Mus musculus: one gene and its partners. The protein of the gene in region 3 interacts with the protein of the main gene of each other region in a biochemical or structural test. Links are inferred from orthologs where the notes say so. Each region holds a gene or a part of one and is shown on either strand. Other genes may lie near its edges.

Evidence for each region. The genes of interacting proteins can lie anywhere in the genome.
Region 1: the proteins of Notch1 (region 3) and Fbxw7 form a complex in vitro, tested with the Homo sapiens proteins (2 studies listed by BioGRID and IntAct, with this or other methods). The link is inferred for Mus musculus from reciprocal best matches to the Homo sapiens genes NOTCH1 and FBXW7.
Region 2: the proteins of Notch1 (region 3) and Numb form a complex in vitro, tested with the Homo sapiens proteins (2 studies listed by BioGRID). The link is inferred for Mus musculus from reciprocal best matches to the Homo sapiens genes NOTCH1 and NUMB.

Annotation. Positions count from the first base shown.
Region 1 is NC_000069.6:84,812,905-84,820,933, forward strand, and holds the start of Fbxw7 (F-box/WD repeat-containing protein 7), read left to right. Parts: upstream 1-2,672; 5' UTR 2,673-2,865; intron 2,866-8,029. UniProt on the Homo sapiens protein: Substrate recognition component of a SCF (SKP1-CUL1-F-box protein) E3 ubiquitin-protein ligase complex which mediates the ubiquitination and subsequent proteasomal degradation of target proteins.
Region 2 is NC_000078.6:83,836,987-83,844,982, reverse strand, and holds the start of Numb (protein numb homolog), read left to right. Parts: upstream 1-2,639; coding exon 2,640-2,765; intron 2,766-3,059; exon of another isoform or gene 3,060-3,129; intron 3,130-7,996. UniProt on the Homo sapiens protein: Regulates clathrin-mediated receptor endocytosis. Plays a role in the process of neurogenesis.
Region 3 is NC_000068.7:26,466,807-26,474,191, reverse strand, and holds part of Notch1 (neurogenic locus notch homolog protein 1 precursor), read left to right. Parts: coding exon 1-71; intron 72-358; coding exon 359-511; intron 512-1,179; coding exon 1,180-1,408; intron 1,409-1,919; coding exon 1,920-2,121; intron 2,122-2,886; coding exon 2,887-3,040; intron 3,041-3,185; coding exon 3,186-3,370; intron 3,371-3,785; coding exon 3,786-3,918; intron 3,919-4,072; exon of another isoform or gene 4,073-4,133; coding exon 4,134-4,391; intron 4,392-4,474; coding exon 4,475-4,587; intron 4,588-5,388; coding exon 5,389-5,960; intron 5,961-6,161; coding exon 6,162-6,563; intron 6,564-7,385. UniProt on the Homo sapiens protein: Functions as a receptor for membrane-bound ligands Jagged-1 (JAG1), Jagged-2 (JAG2) and Delta-1 (DLL1) to regulate cell-fate determination.

The sequences.
Region 1 (8,029 bases), on a different chromosome or scaffold from region 3:
AAACCCAGGGTACTTAGGGCAAGTTATATGACTCCTGGGATTTCAGAAGGACCTGGTGCAACTTGTCTCTCCTTGCTTTTGTGGCATCCTCCTCTTCCCTTCACTCACTCTTGTTTTTGTAGCCTTTGAACAAAAATGAACCCTTGATTTATCAACATAGGCATTTTCTTGATCTACTTTGCACGAAGTGGTAGCAGCCGTGGCATAAACCTGGGCTTGCTTCTTAAATGCGGACAGAGCATGTTTGGTCCAATCTCCCAAGAAGGGTGGAGAGACCCGAAGCACTTATGATAGCCATCGCTGTAGCTTCCAGAGGGACGGGGTCCAGCCACACAACTGTTTCCCTTCATCTTTGCTGCTGCTTTAATCTCACTGTCACACCACTAAGGAGGGCAAGTAAGTTCGTAACAGATTTCTGAGCGCTGTAGTTCTTTTATCTCGAAAATTCTTTTATTAGAGAACCACAGCTTACATTTCATGAGTTTTTCCTTAAACATTTCCTAGCCCAGAATCTGTAGGACAAACGGCCCAATAGATTTATTAATAACATACTCCCCACAACACACACACACACACACACACACACACACACACACACACACGAGAGAGAGAGAGAGAGAGAGAGAGAGAGAGAGAGAGAGCGCGCGAGAGCGCTTTGAAGAAAGACCTGAGAGGCGCCAAACTCTTTTGAAGATGGTTAAGGGGCACTCTGTTGACAAAATCTAAAAAGCTCCAAAAAATCCAAACAAGCAAGAATTACTTTTAAAAGGGGGCTCGACTACATTCGCCCCTTGAAAACATAGAAATCCCCTAAATAATATCCTAGATGTTGATTCTCTTTCAGCCCTGTTCCCCAGTCCTGCCAATTCGCCTCCTTTCCCACAAAACTCTGAAGTTGCGACTCTGAAGAAACGGCATCCTTTTTCTTTCGTGGCAGGGGGCGGGTGGGGGTGAGGAGGGAGATGTAGTACAACTTGTTTCTACGCTTCAACTTACAAAACGCGTGCGCTTCCACTATCACCTCTGAGTCCCGCTATTGCTGTGCTAGAGGCATTAATTCATTCATTCACTCATCAAACCTTCGTAGTGCACTACTACACACAATGCGGCGCAAGGTTTCACCCCACGCCAAGGGAAGGGTGGGACGTTCGCTCCCGGGAGCAGGTGCAGCCACTGGCTGTAGGTTAACTTTTCCAGCCGTCTCTCGGTTCCAGGATCTGCTCCGGGCCAAAAGCCTCACCTTCGGGTGTTGCGCGCCCTAGCCCGATCCCGGGCCTCCTCATTCCCAGAGGAGCAGTCCGCACCTGCCCCGGAGGGAACGGCGACAGAGCTCCCTCTCCGCGCCGCCCTAGGGTCAGGGGTAAGATCAGGCGGTAGCTTAGGCTCGCCTGGGCTCCTCCCCTTCCTCTCTTCAGTTCTGACGCGGCCGTAGAGGCGGCGGCGGCAGCGGCGGCGGTAGCAGCAGCAGCAGCAGCAGCAGCAGCAGTCCCGCGGCCCGAGGCGCACCCACCCGCTCGCAGATCGCGACTTCCTCTTCCCTTGGTGCGTCATCAGAACGCGCCGCAGCCTCCCAGGGCGGGGTGGCTGGAGATGGGGAGAAGAGGCCCGGAGAGGAAGGCGCAGAGAGGAAGGGGAAGGGAGGGGGAGGAGAGCGGTTGCTAGGCGACTTACGTCATCGCTGGGCGCCACTCTCCTCCCGCCCCTCTGTGGAGTGAGGCGAGAGCCCCGCACAGAGCGAGAGAGAGACAGAAGCTGAGCTTCGGGCGCTGCCGCCGCCGCCGGGGAGAGCGTGAGAGCGAGTGAGTGAGCGAGCATCCGAGAGACCCGGCATCCGTGCACTGGCCGCCGCCAAGACCTTTGCCGCAGCCCGGGCCATCGGGAGCCGCGGCCGCCGTCGGCTCCCCCCCTTACATTCCCGGCCGGCAGCGGCTGCTGCACACGCCGAAGCCGGAGCCCCAGCCGGAGCCGGAGCCGGAGCCCGAGCCCGAGCCCGAGCCGGAGCCCGCGGCCGGGGGGCAGGGAGGCGGCTGCCGCGGGTCGGGACTCGTAGCTGCTCAGCCGGGAGAGGACGCCCGCGAGGGGCTGGGCTTTCTGCCTCGTCCCGGACTGTGGGACGAAGGACCCCCCGAGGTGTAGGGAGGGGGTCCCGGCCGCCGCGACACATGCGGGAGCCGGGAGCGGGGGCGGCGCCGATCCGAGCCCGCCGGGTCCCCAGCCTTGCCGCTGTCCACACCAGCCGCCCGGGGCCGTAGCATCCCATAGCGGAGTGTATGAACCCCGGCCCCCAGCCCAGGAGCCACCTCCGGGCCGGGGGGGCGGGGACCCCGATGTGAAACGGCCGCGGCGGCGTGGTGAGCGGCCCCGGCGCCGCTGTCCTCTCCTTCCCCTCCCCTCCCCTCCACCCCCTCTGGGGGGGCTTCTCTTTGGGCCTGCCGCCGCACCCCGGCTCCTCGGCGGGACTCCAGGAGTTCTCGGCGCCCCCTCCCCGCCCCAGCCCCCCAGGGCGGTGGGGCCGGGGGGGAACCTGGGGGGCCGGCTGCAGCCTCCGCCCAGAGGAAACTTTACCCAAACAAAATCTTCGAGCTTTCTGATCGTGACTGTCCCGGGACAAGTGGCCCAGGACGGGCTGAAGCCACCACAGTCTGCAGGGACCCAGGAAGAGAAAAAGCGGTGAGCGAGCGGGGCCGCCACCGCCGCCTCTATCCCAGCAGCGCGGAAGAGACCCGGGTAGCTGCTTGGTGGAGCGACGCTAGCACCGCTTCTTCCTCAGTTCCGCGCCTAGCCAGCCTTCCGCAGCTGCCCGCCTCAGCCCGAAGGAGGAAGGGAGCCAGCCACATTGTCAGCGCCACCGCTCGACTCTGAAGCGTGAGTGGACCCGGGGGAGGGGGACATTATAAGGTGACAAGTGGGAGCGGGTGGGTGCTTTGATGCTGGAGTTCGGCTGTTCCTCGGGAGGGTTGGCAGTGGAAACCTTTCCTTTCTACCAATAGGAGAAAGTGTCAGTTTGCAGGAGTAATGCAAGTACTCGGAGTTTTTTCTTAGAGCAGCTGTGTCTCCAGAGTGGACACTTGCACCTTTTTGGACACTAAACTGAGAAAGCCTATGGCCAGCTCTGTCCCATGCCTTTTCCTGGCAACCTTATTCTGGCAGTGGTTTTTGTTTCAGGGAAACTCCCATGGATTCCCACGTGGGAATCACTTGAATCAACCCTTAATTTTTTTTTTTCCTTTCCTAACTATTGTTTTTGAAGTTGCCTTGGATGGGAAGACCAGATTTCATTTTAGTGCATAGGGGAGTTTGGTGCCCCCAACGCTTTATTTCCCAGGTCTACAGAGTCCGATGTGTAGGGTGCTTGCATGTTTCAGTTGGCTCAGGAAAATCCGAGTTCCTAAGATGCACAACCCACTGAAACTTATTTCAGGGAGAGCACTTAATAAATTACCATTTCGTAAAAGTTGCTGCAGCGCTCTCTCTCTCTCTCTCTCTCTCTCTCTCTCTCTCTCTGTGTTGAGGGAGAGAGGGAGTAATATGTTTTAAGTGGTAGCACATTTTTACTAGGTTTCTACTAGGGACTGGAAGGGCATGCATGCAGCTGTTTTTATTTGGCTCTACTTGTCGACCTTGAGACTTTATACTCTTTTAGGAAAACATTTAGCACTCTGAGTGTTAAATTAGAGGTATAGAAAAGTAATGCTCACATATGTAGGTTAAGCTGACCATCCTAAGGCTTAACGTACTGTAGGATTTCATGTAGCAAGGAACATAGGTAGTAGTTTAAGACTGGAATTCTGGTCTATCCAGACAGCTAAATGTGGGCAGAATAAAGATGCTCTGTAGAAATGACTAGAAACTTGGGAGTATCAATTTATCTACCCATCCATCCATCTTAATTTCTCCATTGAGGGTCATGATTAAATTTGTTTGAAAGTTTTTCACATTTCATGTTTGGGACCTGTTCTCCCCTCCTCTTTTTAAATAATGAACCTCCAAGTTTATCATTCTGCATTATATAGCAATGTATTTCTCTTTGACCAGCCTTCTCAATCTTTCAGGATACAGTTTGTTTGAGGAATGCTAAAACACTGTGAATTTACCTTACCTTGCTTTTATAGATTTTGTTTAATCTCTACTATCATCTGTCCCAACTTTTCTTTTCTTCAAGACTGTTTTTCTATGTTACCTTGGCTGTCCTGGAACTATCTCTGTATATCAGGCTGGCCTAGTGTTCACAGATATGCACCTGCCTCTGCCTCCTGAGTGCTGACTGGGATTAAAAGGTATGTGCCCTGACTGCCAGCCACGTCACAGCTTTTTTGAGTAGCTCCCTCCCCCAACCCTCATTTCTTTGGATAACTTTGCCCTCTTTTTGGATCTCCTAGCCTTTTTTTTTTTTTTTTTTTTTTGTTAGATACTTTGTTCTTCATATGATTTCATGAGACACTTTAAATTTTGCTTAAGTGGGAATTAGTATGAAAATATTGAATGGTAAATTTAACTTTAGATTTAGAATAAAACGTGTTTTTGGATCTGCTAACCTTACTTTGCTACCCTGATAAAGTCATATATTCCAGTTTTGAAAAAGATGATATTTGAGAAACTTAGACTTTAATAGTTTGCTTCTTGGAAAGGAGGAGAGTGGTACTTTGAGTTTGTACTGCATCTAATCAGAGGACCTGCTTTGTGTGTAAATTGGTTTTAAATTATGGAAGTACTTTACTGAATGTAGTAATAACAAGACATTTGCTATTTTCAGTCTTTTGAGGGTGACAGAGACAACCAACTACAAATTGCACAAAACTTTAGGAAAGGTTGAACTGGTGGGAAGGCTCTGTGGGTAAAGCTGCTTGTTGCAAGTCTAAGGACGTGGAGTCTGTCTAATGCCCAGAACCACAGGTGGACAGAGAAACTAACCATACAGAGTTGTTCTCTGACCTGTGTCGTATGTGTGGACATGTGGTGGTAGTACAGTTGTAGTAGTAGTAGCAGTAGTAGTAGCAGTAGTAGTAGCAGTAGTAGTAGTAGTAGTAGTAGTAGTAGTAGTAGTAGTGTAGTAGCAGTAAAAAGAAATACATTTCTTAAAAATGTAGGAAAGGGGACATATATTACCATTATTACTCATAAGATCACTCTGTGTCAGGGAATGCAGTTGCACATTTTTATTAGGGAAATACTGATTTTGGATGACCCAGGAATAATTGGAGTGTCTGAGCCAAATCTTGGAAAGGCTCTTTCAGGAAGAAAAGAACATACACAAACAAAATGTTAAGGGCTTAGCGTCAGAATAAGTAAAAGATGAGATCTAATTAGGAAGTTAGCTTGGTAGGAATGCCTACTGAGGGAGGGAAGTTCCTGACTAGAGTTAAGGTCAGTTTGTGCTTGTATAAGAGAATTTGAAAACAGTGTTCCAAAGAAGGTAGTTTCAGGATATTGGGAGAAATTATATTTTAGGACAGACATTATACTGGCTTTAGGATTTTGTTTCATTAGGAGACTAACATTTTTATATTATGGTCATCTAGGGGGCAGCACAGAAGGAGACACGAAAAAGGAAATGTTTTGAATGTTTTTTAGCATGATGCTAGTTTCTTATGAGTAAATCAGAAACAGGGTAGCAGGCTTTGCTTTGGATGTTGAATTTGGGGTTAAGAGCTAGGTATCTGTACAGTTCATGTGTTAGCTCATTGTTTTTCTTTTCCTCCCTCTCTCTTTAAAACTTTTTCCACTTTCTTTCTCTTCTTTTGTCTCTGTCTCTTGTGCCAGGCTGACCTTGAACTTGTTGTGTACCTTTTAACTTGTAACCACCCTGCTTGGACTTCCTGAATGCTAAATGTACTAGTGTGTGCTGCCATTTCTTGTTTTGTAGTGCTGGGGATGGAACCTAGGCCTTTGTGCATGCTAGGCGGGTACTTTACCAACTGAGCTACATCCTTAGGACCTACCCCGTGCAGCTTTCAAGACTGCAAAATAGTTTGAGTAATATGCTGACAGTGTAGGTAGATGGGAGTCATTTTTAAGCCTTTATATTTCTGAGATTACTGATACGAAATTAAGAGCTGAAAAATGAATTTAAAATTTTGGGACCTGAAGCAGATTTGTGTTGGTATAAGCACAGCTATCAAAAGGAGAGACAGTCCCCAGAAGATCAGCTTCGCAGGTGAGTGGGAATGACAGTTGGAAAGAGGAGCAGTCTGTAACATAATGACCATTCAGTCCCAGGACATGGGATTCTGTTTTAGAAGTAGTTAAAGGTTTTCAATAGCACATTTAGATCCTGAGATAGATAAGTTCAGAAAACATAGGACCTTGTTAGGGAACTTATAAATAAAATGGAAGGCCATTACAGTTTCCCTGCATTTTATAATTTTTTTCCCCGAGACAGGGTTTCTCTGTGTAGCCCTGGCTGTCCTGGAACTCACTCTGTAGACCAGACTGGCCTCGAACTCAGAAATACGCCTGCCTCTGCCTCCTGAGTGCTGGGATTAAAGGTGTGCGCCACCACTGCCTGGCTCATTATTATAATCTTAAGCTTGGTCTTAATACTAATGAAGTGGGGCTAAACATTGATGAAAGGGAAGGCTGTTTCTCTTACTTCAGAAATGTGCATCTTTGTGTCCCTACAATGTGTGTTTAGGGGGGACATCCCTGTGTTGGTACAGAAGTATTAGGGATACTTTTTTGTATAAACTTAAAAAGAGCCTACAATTTAGGAATATTTAAACAACACAAACAAACAAACAAACCCAAGCTAGATAATGATGGCACATGCCTTTTAATCTGACCCAGGTAGCTCTGAGTTCAAGGCCAGCCTAGTCTACAGAGTGAGTTACAGGACAGCCAAAGCAACACAGCTAAACCTGGTCTTGAAAAAAACAAACAAAACAACAACAACAAAACGAACAAAAAAGACTATTCAGGCATCTTTATGGTTAGCTTTTGGTATTGGCTTTGATAAGGATAAAAGATTGTGAATAAAAACACGTAATCATTATGATCCTTTGTTTGAATTCATTGTTTTTCTTTGGCTTCTTAAGAGAGCATCCAGTTGGCAGTAATCTCTTGGAATAGATATTTTTAAACAAGGATGTGGGTCTACAATTATTTTAGGGTGAGTAGATAGGGATTGGAATATCTGCAATATAGGGGTCTTTTGCTACTTGGCCCATTTCTTCCATGGGTGAAGACATGCTTAAGTGTATTTAAAAGACAGCCTTTTAGGATTAACGTGATTTACTAATATGGCGGGATTCTGATGGAGAATGGTAACATCAATATTCTTTGCCTTGATAGTTATGCTATTTATATGAGAGGCTGGAAGTTTTGTATCTTTGTGTGTCTTAGTACCAGAGGACTCCAGAGTCTGTGTGAGTTATCAGCAGTTCATTTAGATATACTTTGAAAATGATTCTTTGAAAAGTCTTGTGGGACGACGTAAAGAATGGGTTGGCAACCTTTCTGTGTGGGTCAGCATACTGTGTCACAACTTTCAGCTGTTTCTGCCATGTGAAAACAGCTGTAGATAATATGGAAGTGTGTTATAACTGTTCCAGTCAGATCTCATGCATAAAAACAAGAAGTAGATGGGATTTGGCCTGTAGGCGGAGGTTTATAGCTCCCTGGCAGAGGACAGCTAAATCTACCAGCATCTACTAGTGTAAGCTAGTTATACTAGAAAGCCAGATTGGCCATTTCAGGTGGATTTTGTTTTCTAGATGAGATGTGCTTCTCTGGACTGCCATTGTAATGATGATTTGCCTTTATAGTAATGAGAATTATGGATCAAGAAGCAGAGACTTGATGTTCTGTAAATAGATCTGAAAAATAGAGACCTTCATCTTACCAGAAGGTGCCATAATTGATGTCTTAGTTACTTTTCTATTTCTGTCACAAATATGTGACCAAGGCAACTTACTGAAAAAAAAAAGCACTTAATTTTGCTTACAGTTTCAGAGGGTGAGCCCTTGGTCATCATTGTGGGTGAGCAGGCATAACACTGGAGAAGTAGCTGAGAGCTCACATCTGACCCACAAGC
Region 2 (7,996 bases), on a different chromosome or scaffold from region 3:
TGGAAAACCTTTTCCTTAAACTTCTTACATGGAAATCTGATAAAATAGTTCTATGAATATGTGACGGGAACCTGAAGCCTTTCCTAAGAGTTGTGTCCAATCCTTCAGACTCATTAACTTTCCCCCCTAAACAAGCAATGGCTGCTAGGCCTTTCCACTGCAGTCCTGTGGTTACTTAAAGCATAAGTCAGGAATCGTGGCAGAAATGCTGATGGCAAACCATTTGAGTACTAAAAGTGGTAAGATATTAACACCAATTTTTTGGATATTTTCACCGTGTTATTTAGCAACCAAAAATGCTACAATAATACATCTGTGCCAGAGAGTGAATAGAGTCTGCCAGTACCCTAGTCTAGACAGTGGGGTAATCCTCCTTTGTCAGTGGGCTTTGACATCTCTAGTCTTTTCCAGCTCTGATCATTTCGTAGTGTCTTCTACCTACAAAGTAGTCTCAGCGTTATGGGGGGTTGGTTGTTTGTTTCTTCAAAATTACAGTATGTCATACAAGGACAGACAGGCACCACATTAGAATTCAGGGATGGGTGCTGTTTAAACAAGTAGGATACAGCTCACTATTAAGGAACTAGAAAATGTGCCAGTTTCTAATGTACAGTAATAAAAGTCAGCAAAACACTTAAATGGAACCACGTGAAAGTAGAAGGACCGAGGTCAAGTAAAGACTTCTCAGAACAACAACAGTGAGTGTTTTGTTAAATGCTGGCGTCTCTTGAGCTTGCACTGAACATGAGTAGACTTTTACAGGAGGCAAACTGAAATAGTTTCTTTCCATGTAGAGAGAGGCACTGAAAACAGCCTGCCTGTAGGGGACTGTAAGTAGATTAATGGAGCTGGAACTTAACATGTGAATGGGGGCTGGTAAGAGACCGCATAAGACTGTGTTTGCTGGGGCTGGTGAGATGGCTCAGGGGTTAAGAGCACCGGCTGCTCTTCCAAAGGTCCTGAGTTCAAATCCCAGCAAGCACATGGTGGCTCACAACCATCCGTAACAAGATTGGATGCCTCTTCTGGAGTGTCTAAGACAGCTACAGTGTACTGACATATAATAAATAAATAAATTTAAAAAAAAAGACTGTGTTTGCCATGCTGAGCATTTACACTTTGAAGGTGATATGAGCCAATTAGAGGATTTTAAAGTAGAGTAGTTGTACAGTCAGATTGATGTTTTAGAAAACAGTAGTCAGACCAGATTAGAATGAAATGGGCCTTTATTTGAAGCAGTCTAAGTAATGGCCTTTTGCAATAAGTTAAACAAAAAAGTCTCAAAATAGTTGATTTGAACACTGGCCACATACAGGCCTGTCTACCTGAGAGGCTTAGAAAAGAGGATCAAGAGTTCAAGGCCAGTCCCAGCAACAAGAGTTCCCTTTTGAAACATTAGCTGCTTTAGGTAACATTATTTCTGACCCTCACAGTGACCCTGAGAATTAACAGTTACTACCATATCTGACAGACATATAAACTAAGGATTAGAACTTTCCGTTTACTTGCATCAGTCACATCACCATCTCTGGCAGCACAGCATTCACTCAGGTCTGTCTCATTGTAAAGCTTACAGGGTGCCCCAGTTACTACATAAGCTAGATTGTGACCCAAACCTCAGGCATGCATGGTTTATTAATCGTGAGTGTTGGTTGAACAGCATTCATTCAGTAAGTATATGTGAGCAACTCCTCTACTGATCAGTTCCAGGAAGGCAGGCATAAACAGGGAACAGGACAGTATCCTGTCCTTGCAGACTTTACCTCACTGGGAATAGGTAGGTAATGTAAACAAAGACATGTTTTAGTTTGAGACAGTAATTAAGCAAAGGTACCACAAAGAAAAATCAGGGATTTGGGGGAGGTGGCTTTGCCTTTGGGTTCCATCCCCACCAGGTTCCATGAGGAGTGAGCAGAGAGGAAGAGAGAAAAGTGACAGGAAAGGCTCCAAGACACAGAGTGCTTGCCTGCCTGGGATGTGCGGGGCTGTAGTTTTAATCGCTTGCCCTACAGACTAGAAAAAGAGTGACTGTTCACCCAAGCACCATGAGCTCTCCTGGCTCTTACCTAATATCCATCAAATCAGGAAGACTTGAATCTTTCTTTTGTCTACCAGTAGTAATAAAGATAGCTACAAATGAAGGGGGTGGGGAAGAGTCTGAGAATGAATGAATCATGGGACAAAGGGCATGGAGTGAATTAGATATTAAAGAGGTAACATTGGTAGATAAGGCCACAGGAAGAAAGAATGGGGAGTTGGGCATGTAACTAACTCAGTTGGCAAAATGTGTGCCTGGCAGGCACAAAATATTAGTTCAGTCCTTAGCACCAAACTGAGGCACAGTAGGGCATGGCTGTAATCCCGGCATTTGAGAGGTATCAAGCAGGTGAGAAGTTAAACGCCGCCCTTGTTGGGGCAGTTGTCATTGGAGGGGACTGTAGTTGTCTTTAAAAAGCGGACTGAGAGCAGTTTTAGACTCACTGTCACTCCGAGAGGAAGTATGCTAACATACTAAGCTATAACCCTCGTGTGGGCCCTCAGGGTTTGGGGTGGGTTTTGTACTAAAATGGTCATCTGAAGTTTGTGTAAGAAGTAACTTTGGTATTTCTTCACTGTGTCTTCAGGTTGTAAAAGTTAACATGAACAAACTACGGCAAAGCTTCAGGAGAAAGAAAGACGTTTATGTCCCAGAGGCCAGCCGTCCACATCAGTGGCAGACAGATGAAGAAGGAGTCCGCACTGGAAAGTGTAGCTTCCCAGTTAAGGTAAAACACACATTGTTGTGTCTGGCCAGTAGATCACAACCTGGGTTCTAGCCTGGAAAGGCATTTTGGAAACCTGGAAGAGAAGAGGGGCTGGGCTTCGGGAGATAAGGAAGGAACCCAGACAAAGCTCTCTGCTCAAGGTTCAATTTTTACTATTTCGGCACTCAGTTATAAAGGAAGGGGGAGGGGCCCAATTCCCGCCAAATAATCCAGTAGCAGGGTGATCACGTGATGCCTTCAGAACAGCAAAGCGGCAGGTTCCAGCAGTAGGCGTGGCAGAAAGATTGAGCGGGAAGCTCCACCCCTGAGCAAGCAGGTTTCAGGCTGGGGGAGGGGAGACTATAACACATATCTTTGTGGTTCTCTGTGGGGAAATAAACAAAAACATAAAAGCAAACCAAACAAAAAACTGATAGCCCATAGAATATGTAATCCTATGACTCACGCTAGTGAAGGAGCCTTCCAAAATCGTATTCTGCTTCAGTGATGGAATTAAATAAGAAAAAAATACATTGTGCAGTTAGTGATTTTTCTTTTTGTGTTTAAGTTATTTAAATAAGGCTGTGTGCTACATAATCTGGAACAAGTATAAGTGAGAACAGTTTGTGTGTGGGTTGGTGGGACTCCTAGGAGCTCACTATGGGCCTTGAGTGTGCTTGGCAAGCCCACTACCACTGGGCTACATCCCTGCCTTCTTTTTACTTCCTTGAGAAGGGATCTCACTAAGTTATCTAGGCTGTCCTTGAACTTACTCTGTAGCCCTTAGGTAGGCTTTGAACTTGTGATCGTCCTTCCTCAGCTCCTGAGTAAGTGAGGTTTCCCAGAAGCCTCCACTCTCAGGTCTGGCCAAGTAAGAACACTTCTAATGAGAACATAAGTCCTGAGACGTCTACAGATCCTCAGTTACCAAGAATTAAATCATTTTCAGTGAGGTAGGGGTTTATTTCCAGCACTCTCCAACAAAAGAAAAGTCAAAAGAAGCGCCTCTCCTCCCCACTCCCATTCAGGGCTAACTGGCTTGTTTGCTGCTTCTTCTATTTTTTTCTGAATATTTATTATTTATATGTAAGCACACTGTAGCTGTCTTCAGACACACTAGTAGAGGGGGTCAGATGTCATTACAGATGGTTGTGAGCCACCATGTGGTTGCTGAGATTTGAACTCAGGACCTTCGGAAGAACAGTCAGTGCTCTTAACTGCTGAGCCAGCTCTCCAGCCCTGTTTGCTTCTTCTTGTCTTCACTTTTAAACTCTTCCCACCATTAGTTCTGCTCTTGTCTTCTGTACTTATAATTTCTTGTTCCATCAATGCTAGATGATTATCTTGATGTTCCATCATAAAAAAAAGAAATACTTTCACTTATTTTCAAATTTATATCAGATATTTTTACTTCATTTTCTTTACATGTTTCACGTTTTATTTCATTTTCTTCACATATGTTTTCTTCACTAATGTTTACATTCTCTTCTATAAATAGTAATTATATCTCCTATATATTGAGCTTGTTCTAAAAGTTTTCATTATTAATTAGGCATTAAATTTAATGCCAATCTAAGGAATATCCTACAGTTTCTTCTCTTTGATATTATTGATTCATTGATATGTTTGACAGATAATTGCTGAATGTCTGCTGTCTACCAAGTATTGTTCTAGGAACCAGGAGTGCAGTGAGCAGCACAGACAGGATCTCTACCTAGTGTTGTTCATGGTAGTGTATGCGAGAGTGTGAGAAAACAATATCTGCTATACCAGAAAGGAATTGTGGATGAAAGAAATAAATGGGGTTGATACGGTTTAAAATATTTTGGTTATGGAAGTCCTCATTAGGGGGCAAAATGTCATTTCAGAAAACACCCAAAGAAATTCAGAAAATAAGCATTTCAGGTATTGAAGGAAACAGAATGTAGCCAAGGGAGCAACAGTGGAGTGGCTCTTCAGCAAGAGGCACCTGGCATAGTAAGGGGCACAGAGAAAACCACCTTGTATAGAACCAGAGGAGCAGGGAGCCATGAAAGCAGGTAGGTAGAAGGTAGATTCAGTAGTTCAGTACTTTCAAATAATATCACACCTACTAGCTGCATTTTTTGATACAATACTCTTTATAAATTCTAAATTACTATTTATATTCAATTATGTATATGAAGAAGTAAATTTTGCTAAAATTTGTATCTAGCATGTACAGTCTTCTCTCTTTTTTTTTAGATTTATTTATTATATTTATATGAGTACACTGTTGCTGGGATTTGAACTCAGGACCTCTGGAAGAGCAGTTAGTGCTCTTAACCGCTGAGCCATCTCTCCAGCCCCTCCCCCCTTTTTTTTAATCTTTTTTTTTTTAACAGTCTTCTCTTGATTGACTTAGTTATATTTGTGTGAAAGTCACTGCATGTGTGCATATTTAAAATAGAATTAGAGTCAGTAAAAGATACTCTGAGTAAGCTTTTTCTATATTACAAGTGCCCAATATTAGATGTGTCATATATTCATTCTTGGGCCCTTGCCTACTAGCTAGAAGTATTGTTCCTACAAATGATCTCATTACCGTCCTTAAACACTGAAAAATTATTTGCCTAGAACATTTTGGGGGTGGAAGTTGGGAGATACAGAGTCTTGCTACATAGATCAGGATAACCTCTACTAGCAAGCCCAATTCCATCTTAAGGATTTTGACTTTTATATTTAGATGAGATGAGAAACCATTAAAGAGTTGAGCAGACATAGCATCATGGGACTTCTGCTCTCGAAGGCACATAAAACAAACAAAAATATAATACAAAAATCAGAAAACCAGAAAAACAGGCAAACCAGAATTTGGAGCTTGAGATGTTTCAAAGGTTATAAGCACTTACTGCTCTCACAGAGGACCTTCCTGCCTCTGCTTCCCAAGTGTTCATATTTTATAGTCATATACTACAGGTGAGTACCACTACTTTATATTCTAGAAATCAACTAACTGTACATTCTTGGAATCTCAATTTGATAAATGCTTATCATGACTAAGGAGTTTTGAAGGCATAGCTAAATTCTGTATGCTAATATCTTGTTCAAAAAGTTCATGTCACTGTTTTGAGATATTTTGCCTGTTCATTTTTTTCCTTATATTTTTGACAGATTTTAATTTAATAAAGTAAGCCTGGGCAGAGATAGTTGGCACAAGCTTGTGATCCCAGCATCTGTGAAATAGAGGCAGGGAGGGTAGGACTTGAAGGTCATCCTTGGCAACTTCCTGTCTCATAAAACCAAACAAGCAAACAAACGTGGGGTATCACTTGGGCAGGGCTCTCTACTTGTGGTTTCCTCCTGTTCCCAGGATGTACTTTCTAGGTGTTTCATCTGAGAGTATGGGGTGCTCAGTAGACCATATTTCTCTCGTGTAGTTCCTGAATCCCTTACTGAAGTGAAAATGCCAAAAACTCACCTTGCTTATTAACAAGTTTTGTTTTAATTGTTTATTTTAGAGGGTTTATCTTTTAGCTTTTATCTCCCCCTGAAACACAAACACACACACACACACACACACACACACACACACACACACACAAACACACACACTTACCTTCACTGGTAAGGTGGACTGTTACCTGAACATACAAAATAGTTTGTTATCATTTTGGGGTAACATCAGCCGTTGGTGATCATTGACTGGGTTTATTATTATTAATTCTTCAAATTTCAAGAAGGCCAGGCTGTAGTGGTGCACAGCTTTAATCCCAGCAATTGGGAGGCAGAGGCAGGTTTATCTCTGTGAGTTGGAGGCCAGCCTGGTCTACAGAGTGATTTACAAGACAGCCAGGGCTACACAGAGAAACCCTGTCTCAAAAGAACAGAGAGAGAGATAGAGAGAGAGAGAGAGAGAGAGAGAGAGAGAGAGAGAGAGAGAGAGAGAGAGAGAGAATATGAATGAATATGAATGTGTGTGTGTTGCAAAAAGGTTATTGAGCAGTTGTCTGATTGGGTTAAGGCACTCACCACCAAGCTGGACAACCTGAGTTTGATCTCTAGGACCTACACAGTGGAAGTGTAAAAGTCACTTTTATTTGTCAGATGTAACTGTCATCTTGAAGGCTTACCACTGAATAAGCTTACCCTTTCTAGTTCTTTCCAAATTCTGGCTGGCTGGTTCAACTCAGCTGTTCTGGCTCAAAACTCCTCTCCAAGCTGACAAATTCAAACTGGCTTCTCTTGGCTTCTCATGGAATTGTTTTGCTTGGAAAAACTGCCTCTGATTTGAACTGAACTGCACTGAGTACATGAACTCAACGAAACTGAACACTGTGTTGCCTGAATTCAACTGAACCGCACTCACGGAGCTGTCCTCCCTTCCTGGCTCACTCTGTGCTGCTTCTAAGTAGCCTTTCTTCTGCTGTTCTCATGTGAGTTGAGCATAGCCTATCTCTGGCTCATTCTGTCAAATCTTTCTCTGATTTGTCACTTTACCTGCCCCTCAATTAAATGTCACTTTCAGACATGGCTGCTTCCTTCTACCGACTGACCTGACCTTCACTGTAAGCTATTAAAGGTATGTACTAAAGGCATGTCTGCAGTCAGGCCAAATTGTATAGACCTAGAAAGTCTCTTTGGATATGATCACTTGCCCAAACAGCTGTGTTGCTGGATTAAAATATCTCTACATGGAAGGAGAGAACTGATTCCTGCAAGTTGTTCTTGGACCTCTATACTTGCACCATGATACATATATGGACACATGCACCTCCCTCTCCTATACCTACACATACAGAGTCACAAAAGTATACTTTAGGGGCTGGATAGTGTCACACACACCTTTAATCTCAGCATTTGGGAGGCGGAAGCAGGTGGGTCTCTGTGAGTTCAAGACAGCTACACAGAAAAGCCCTGTCTTTGGGGGAGAGGGTGCTTACTAAAATGAATGACAGCTCTGTCTGATTGCCTACTTTGTTTTGAAGAATAATACTAAGTAAGTGCGTGTAACAGTGGCAAACTATGAGCCATTATTTAAACAAGACAGTTACACATGTACTTTAACAGAGAGGTAGTGTCAGGTAATTGAAAAAGACCTGGGCTCTTGTCTGTGAATTTACTAGTTAGTATGACTTACTCTTCTCGTTTAACTTTATTGACATTTGGTTAAAGGAAAAGTTTGGATCTCTTAAGTACTTTCTAGTACTGAATTTCCACAATTATATTTAATAAATCTGATTATGTCATGACTAACTCAGATGGAATTTTAAAATTTTATAGATGAGGATATT
Region 3 (7,385 bases):
AAACAGCGGGGTATGCAAGGAGTCTGAAGACTATGAGAGTTTTTCCTGTGTCTGTCCCACAGGCTGGCAAGGTGAGGCTTGCCTGGTCCCACCAGGCTGGGACAAGGATGGTGGATGGGAAGTCAGGGGCCCTGGCCAGCCTGTGGGGCAGTCTCGAGAAAGGAGCCCATCAATGCTGAGCTACCTGCTCTGGGAAGCTCTGGGAAGCTCTGGGAGCAGGAGATGGTCCTTCCCATTCCAACTCCATATCCTTCTGTTGCCCAGAGGTCAGGGGAGAAGCACTGGAGATAAACAGACCAGCTAGGACAGAGGCTCAGAGGGTGGGGGCAGGTAACCAAATGAGTTTTTGTCTTCACAGGTCAAACCTGCGAGGTTGACATCAATGAGTGTGTGAAAAGCCCATGTCGCCATGGGGCCTCCTGCCAGAACACCAATGGCAGCTACCGCTGCCTCTGCCAGGCCGGCTATACAGGTCGCAACTGTGAGAGTGACATCGATGACTGCCGCCCCAGTAAGTGGTACCCAGCTCTGTCCATCCTATGTTTCGGTGCCTCTGTTCCTAAGCACACATGACAGGGAGCTGCTGAGAGTCTGAGGTGGAAAATAGCCCTGGTGCCCGGCAGTCATGAAGGACTGTGGATAGCTGTGCCCTCAGCTTAGTCCACTTGCCTGTGCCTTAAAAAGAGACAGGCCAGAGGCTAGACAGGCCAGGAGGAGGCTGTTGAGCATCAGTGTGTGCTTCTCACGGGCTTTGCTGCTAGATTTCCCAGCCCAATTGAGTGATATGGAGCAGAGGCACCAGGCACTTCAAAATGATGGCATGGGGCCTAGTTGTATTCAACCTTGACACTCGGCCCTTGTCAGGACCCATTGAGTTGTGTAGGGCTTTAGAGATGCCCTGCATCCTGAGTCAAAGCTAAAGGCAGAGAGAGATTGAGGGAGGTTCTGCCTGGCACCATCAGTGTGTGTGTAGGGGAATGGGCTTCCCTATGACTGCCTTGGGCCTGAGGGAAAAAGTGTATGCGGAGCAGATTCCAGGCTCAGTGCTGGGATGGGCCCCTGTTGACTACTGTCATCAAGGCTTGCTGTGAGCACTTGCCACCCCATACCACCTTCTCAGCATCAGGTCCCCGAAGCATGGCCAGTGGCCACCTAAGGCTCATCTTTCTGTCCCTCCAGACCCGTGTCACAATGGGGGTTCCTGCACCGATGGCATCAACACAGCCTTCTGCGACTGCCTGCCCGGCTTCCAGGGTGCCTTCTGTGAGGAGGACATCAATGAATGTGCCAGCAATCCCTGCCAAAATGGTGCCAATTGCACTGACTGTGTGGACAGCTACACATGTACCTGCCCCGTGGGCTTCAATGGCATCCACTGCGAGAACAACACACCTGACTGTACTGAGAGGTGGGTCCCAGCCTCAGCTGAGACAGGGAAAGAAATGGACTGTGGAAGACACAAAGTCTTGACAGCATGGCATCTCAAGCTGGTGTCTTGCCCAGACCCAGTGGGCATACAGCACTAATTGAACTGAATCCAGCGTTGTTCATTATGTTGCAGTATCCCTCCTAAAGGGGCCTTTGTGACCTCCAGTGACTTAGAACAAGGAAGTTTGTGCAGAGGAATTGGGGAACTAGCCTCCTATCAAACAAGAGCTTTGTAATCTGTCTTAGTTCCCCTTTTGCCCTGGTTGCCAGGAAGCTTAGAGTTAAATCAATCTCAAGCCTGGTTTGTGATGCGCTTCCTATAGTGTTCCTATTTTGCCCTTGATTTTGTTTTTCTCAACCACCACGTGTCTATATGCTATAAAATCTCTGCTCGTGATTTGGGTATTGTGGCCAGGTAGGCATGGAGTTGTCTCTCCTGGCAAGGACCTTAGGGAACTCCTCACTCTTCCCTGCTTCTCATCTGCCTCTAGCTCCTGCTTCAATGGTGGTACCTGTGTGGATGGTATCAACTCCTTCACCTGTCTGTGTCCACCTGGCTTCACGGGCAGCTACTGTCAGTATGATGTCAATGAGTGTGATTCACGGCCCTGTCTGCACGGTGGTACCTGCCAAGACAGCTATGGTACTTATAAGTGTACCTGCCCACAGGGCTACACTGGTCTCAACTGCCAGGTGAGCTGAGGTTACAGGGTATGACCCAGAAGGCCTAGGGCTCTCCAGTGCCCATTGCCCAGCCCTGGGCCACACTACCTTCAGAGGGCCAGGGACACAGAAGCAGAGAGGCTCCCTGGTGTCATCATTGGTTGATGAGCCAGAATGAACCCACATCCTCTGGGAAAATGCCAAGTTGGGTGCTTCTGAGGGAGACAGGTGGGCATGGGTGCCAGCCAGGCTCTTCTGTGGAGTGCATTATGTGGCCATCTGTCTGAAGCAGCCTGGGGCAGTGCTCACTTCTGGTGGAGGATGTCCAAGGGGAGGTAGCCAGTGGGTTGTGGAGAGCCTTGAAAGAGAGCAAGGAAGACGTGGAGCCCAGGCCTATGTTGTTCGGAGGGCGGGCAGTGTTTGTGAGTCCTGTGCCTGGGATTTCTTAGGTGATATTCTTTCTGAGATGGTGGGGGTGGGGGTGGGGAAGTCAGAGCATAAAATGCCTTATTCCAGTGGCGCTCAGCCTGTGGGTCATGACCCCAATAGGGGTCATATATCAGATATCCTGCATATTTTTGCTACATGACAGTAGCAAAATTACAGTTATGAAGAAGCAATGAAATAATTTTATGGTTGGAGGTCACCACAACACGAGGAACTATATTAAAAGACTGCAGCATTAGGAAGGCTGAGAACTGCTGTGCTTCTCAGAGCCAGCCAGGACCAGGGCAGGAGGGTGCCCTAGCAGTCAGAGTTGGTCAGGGAGAAGCTAACCAGCGCCTGTCTCCTCAGAACCTTGTGCGCTGGTGCGACTCGGCTCCCTGCAAGAATGGTGGCAGGTGCTGGCAGACCAACACGCAGTACCACTGTGAGTGCCGCAGCGGCTGGACTGGCGTCAACTGCGACGTGCTCAGTGTGTCCTGTGAGGTGGCTGCACAGAAGCGAGGTAACCAACCGGCCGGGCCCACCTGTCCTTGCTCAGGCTCAGCTTAGGCCAGGAGTGCCCCGGTGCCTGCCAGGTCAGGTGACAATGGGCAGTAGTCCCGAGAGCTCAGCCCAGGCCTCAGCTCCTTCCCGTCTTGTCCCCACAGGCATTGACGTCACTCTCCTGTGCCAGCATGGAGGGCTCTGTGTGGATGAGGGAGATAAACATTACTGCCACTGCCAGGCAGGCTACACGGGCAGCTACTGTGAGGACGAGGTGGACGAGTGCTCACCTAACCCCTGCCAGAATGGAGCTACCTGCACTGACTATCTCGGCGGCTTTTCCTGCAAGGTGTGGGCCGTCATGGGGTGGCGGGGAGGGTATCAGCGTGAGTGTTGCTGCAGGGGAGGGCTTTTGACTGGGAGCTAGTGCATCATGGCAGACTGAGCACATACCTGTGCAGGATCCGGTCACATTACAGATGTGCTGAAGGAGGAGAACTATGCCAAGCAGTGGCTTAGGGCACCCCTTTCCTATATGGTTTCATGGTACCTAATACCTGCTCCAAGACCTCATCCCTGGGGGACCAGGTGTTGCCCCACACACACACACCTTGGACACTTATTTTAACTTACTGGGGTCTACTGGGTGGAGCCCTCGCTGCAGGGTGGGACAGTGTAGTCTAACTGGGTATATGGCCTGCATGGCAAGTGGAGGACATGATACCACAACCCCAGCTAAGCTGTGACCTGTGCCATTTCTACAGTGTGTGGCTGGCTACCATGGGTCTAACTGCTCCGAGGAGATCAACGAGTGCCTGTCCCAGCCCTGCCAGAATGGGGGTACCTGCATTGATCTGACCAACTCCTACAAGTGTTCCTGCCCCCGGGGGACACAGGGTAAGGGTAGGGACCTGGATGATGGGCAGGATCCAGCCAGAGATCACTCAGGTGATTGAGAGCTGACCACGGAATAGGAATCTCAGAAGGGAGGTGGGCTCCAGTGGCACTGTGCTGCCTCCCCCGGGCCCCAGGTCCTAACTGATTTCTGGACTGGGCTGCACAGGACAGAGCACAGTCAGCATCATCCGACGGTGTCTCTGGTCACTCTGCAGGTGTACACTGTGAGATCAATGTTGATGACTGCCATCCCCCCCTTGACCCTGCCTCCCGAAGCCCCAAGTGCTTCAACAATGGCACCTGTGTGGACCAGGTGGGTGGCTATACCTGCACCTGCCCACCAGGCTTCGTCGGGGAGCGGTGTGAGGGTGATGTCAATGAATGTCTCTCCAACCCCTGTGACCCACGTGGCACCCAGAACTGTGTGCAGCGTGTTAATGACTTCCACTGCGAGTGCCGGGCTGGCCACACTGGTGCGTGCCTTGGGCAGGTGGGTCGAACGGGTGGGTGGGCAGGGTCAACAGGGATGGCTCCTTACTGTCCCTTCTTCACACAGGACGCCGCTGTGAGTCAGTCATCAATGGCTGCAGGGGCAAACCTTGCAAGAATGGGGGTGTCTGTGCCGTGGCCTCCAACACCGCCCGTGGATTCATCTGTAGGTGCCCTGCGGTAGGTGTCCCTGGCCCTGTGCGGCTGCAAGGGTGCCAGGTCTGAGGGTGCCTGAACCCTGACCGACTCTTATGGTGGATCTGTCCTCCACCCACCCTCACTGTGAATAGTCAGCCTGAAGACCTCTAGCAGAGGCTAGGGTCCAAGCCACATGCTTCCTCGTGTCCATTCCCCAGCTCGTTTATAAAACCCGAGCGGGCACGATCCATACATGCCTTGCTCCCAGTGCTCTGCAGCCTCAGGCTGAAAGATTGCCTTGTATTTGAGGTACCTTAGGCTTCACAACAAGACCCTGTTTAAAAAGTTTATTTCCTGCTGTGCTATGTTGGGAACCTCACACATGCTGGGCAAGTGTTTTGCCACTGTGTCTTAGCCCAATTTTTTAAATAGATGTTTATTTTAGAGCGGTTTTAGGTTTGCATGAGAACTTAGCAAGAGGGCCAGGTCCCCACCCTGCAGGCCGTTCCCTATGTTTGCTGCCTTGCGTGGAAGGTGTTGAGCTGGCACTAATATGCAGTATTTGCTCTTGGGTGTTGACATCCAGGGATCTGTACACATACAATGTACCAGCATCAGCCTTGGGTTTCATGGCTCTAAAAACTCCTAGGGTTCTCCCCATTCACCTATCCCTCCAGTTTGAAGCCCTTGGCAACCCTGACCATCCTATGGTGAGATGTTTCAAGGGTCTTGTTATTGGGGCAAGGCCATAGACACCTTTCACAGGCCACAGACTGGGGCCAGGTCTTTGCTGGGGTGTGCATGGTGTCCCTGATTGAATGCACCATCCTCTCTCCACCACAGGGCTTCGAGGGTGCCACATGTGAGAATGATGCCCGCACTTGTGGCAGCTTACGCTGCCTCAACGGTGGTACATGCATCTCGGGCCCACGTAGTCCCACCTGCCTATGCCTGGGATCCTTCACCGGCCCTGAGTGCCAGTTCCCAGCCAGCAGCCCCTGTGTGGGTAGCAACCCCTGCTACAATCAGGGCACCTGTGAGCCCACATCCGAGAACCCTTTCTACCGCTGTCTATGCCCTGCCAAATTCAACGGGCTACTGTGCCACATCCTGGACTACAGCTTCACAGGTGGCGCTGGGCGCGACATTCCCCCACCGCAGATTGAGGAGGCCTGTGAGCTGCCTGAGTGCCAGGTGGATGCAGGCAATAAGGTCTGCAACCTGCAGTGTAATAATCACGCATGTGGCTGGGATGGTGGCGACTGCTCCCTCAACTTCAATGACCCCTGGAAGAACTGCACGCAGTCTCTACAGTGCTGGAAGTATTTTAGCGACGGCCACTGTGACAGCCAGTGCAACTCGGCCGGCTGCCTCTTTGATGGCTTCGACTGCCAGCTCACCGAGGGACAGTGCAAGTAAGTAAGGCTGAGTTTCTTTAGAGTCCCAGGGCTCAGGATGCTACGGGAGGACCTAACCAAACACCAGGCTCCTGAAGCCAATGTCTATCCCTGCCCATTGCGAGTCGCCAAGCACATTTCCCAGATCTGGCCTATTCAAGGTATGGGTTTGAGGTCCACAGGCTGGGATGGGACTGAGTGCATCCTATACCTCCTCAGCCCCCTGTATGACCAGTACTGCAAGGACCACTTCAGTGATGGCCACTGCGACCAGGGCTGTAACAGTGCCGAATGTGAGTGGGATGGCCTAGACTGTGCTGAGCATGTACCCGAGCGGCTGGCAGCCGGCACCCTGGTGCTGGTGGTGCTGCTTCCACCCGACCAGCTACGGAACAACTCCTTCCACTTTCTGCGGGAGCTCAGCCACGTGCTGCACACCAACGTGGTCTTCAAGCGTGATGCGCAAGGCCAGCAGATGATCTTCCCGTACTATGGCCACGAGGAAGAGCTGCGCAAGCACCCAATCAAGCGCTCTACAGTGGGTTGGGCCACCTCTTCACTGCTTCCTGGTACCAGTGGTGGGCGCCAGCGCAGGGAGCTGGACCCCATGGACATCCGTGGGTGAGTGCTCCAGCTCCTGCTGTTGTGGGCTGTTTCCCAGTGTGTCCCTGGGTTCTCTAACCAGCTTAACCCTGGAGGTGTAACCTCAGGGGAGGTAGTATTCACCTTATTTTATAGTCAGAAAGCACCTGGGATGAAGAGGGCATCCCTCTGATGAGGACTTGGCAGGCCTCAGGGTTTGCCCAGATGTGATTTTCAGGCCCCACTGTGTACCAGGTGTTGGAGACCAAGCTGATTAAAGCCTCCAGGGTGTCCCCTGGGGCTAAGTCATCCTAGACCAATCCTGACCCTCAGTCACTACAGCCCTTATCCCTACTACAGAGGAGGCAGTGAGGGGTACAGAAGGGCACTGTTGCTGAGCCTGGAAGGCTGAGGAGCCGAGGGAGGCACAAATAAGAGCATCTCCTGGATGCTGCACAGAGCCATCTGGGGATGGGCAGGGAAGCACCAGCCAGGCATTTGGAGGTTCCAGGAGCCTTCGCTGTTGGGCATCTGCCTGGTGGCACCTCAGTGTCTCCTGACCCCAGTGGTTCCTGGTCCTGGTTTTCTTGTCGTGGGACTGTGGTGAAGGTCAGAAATTAATTGTTTCCTGGAGGCTGTTAGAATCCTGTTTCTGAGAGGCCAGTGACTGAGAGTTGGTGACTTGGCTGGCATGAGAGAGCTGACTCTCTGGCATCTGAGCCTGCTGTCACCTCAAGCTACACCATAGGGAGTCACAACTGCATCCTTGCAGTTCTGTGGGGCCCCAGGCACTGCTCTCAAGAGGGCATTGGATGCCTAAAGACTATTCTTTGAAGTAAGGAAAAGGGGTGCTGTGCACCT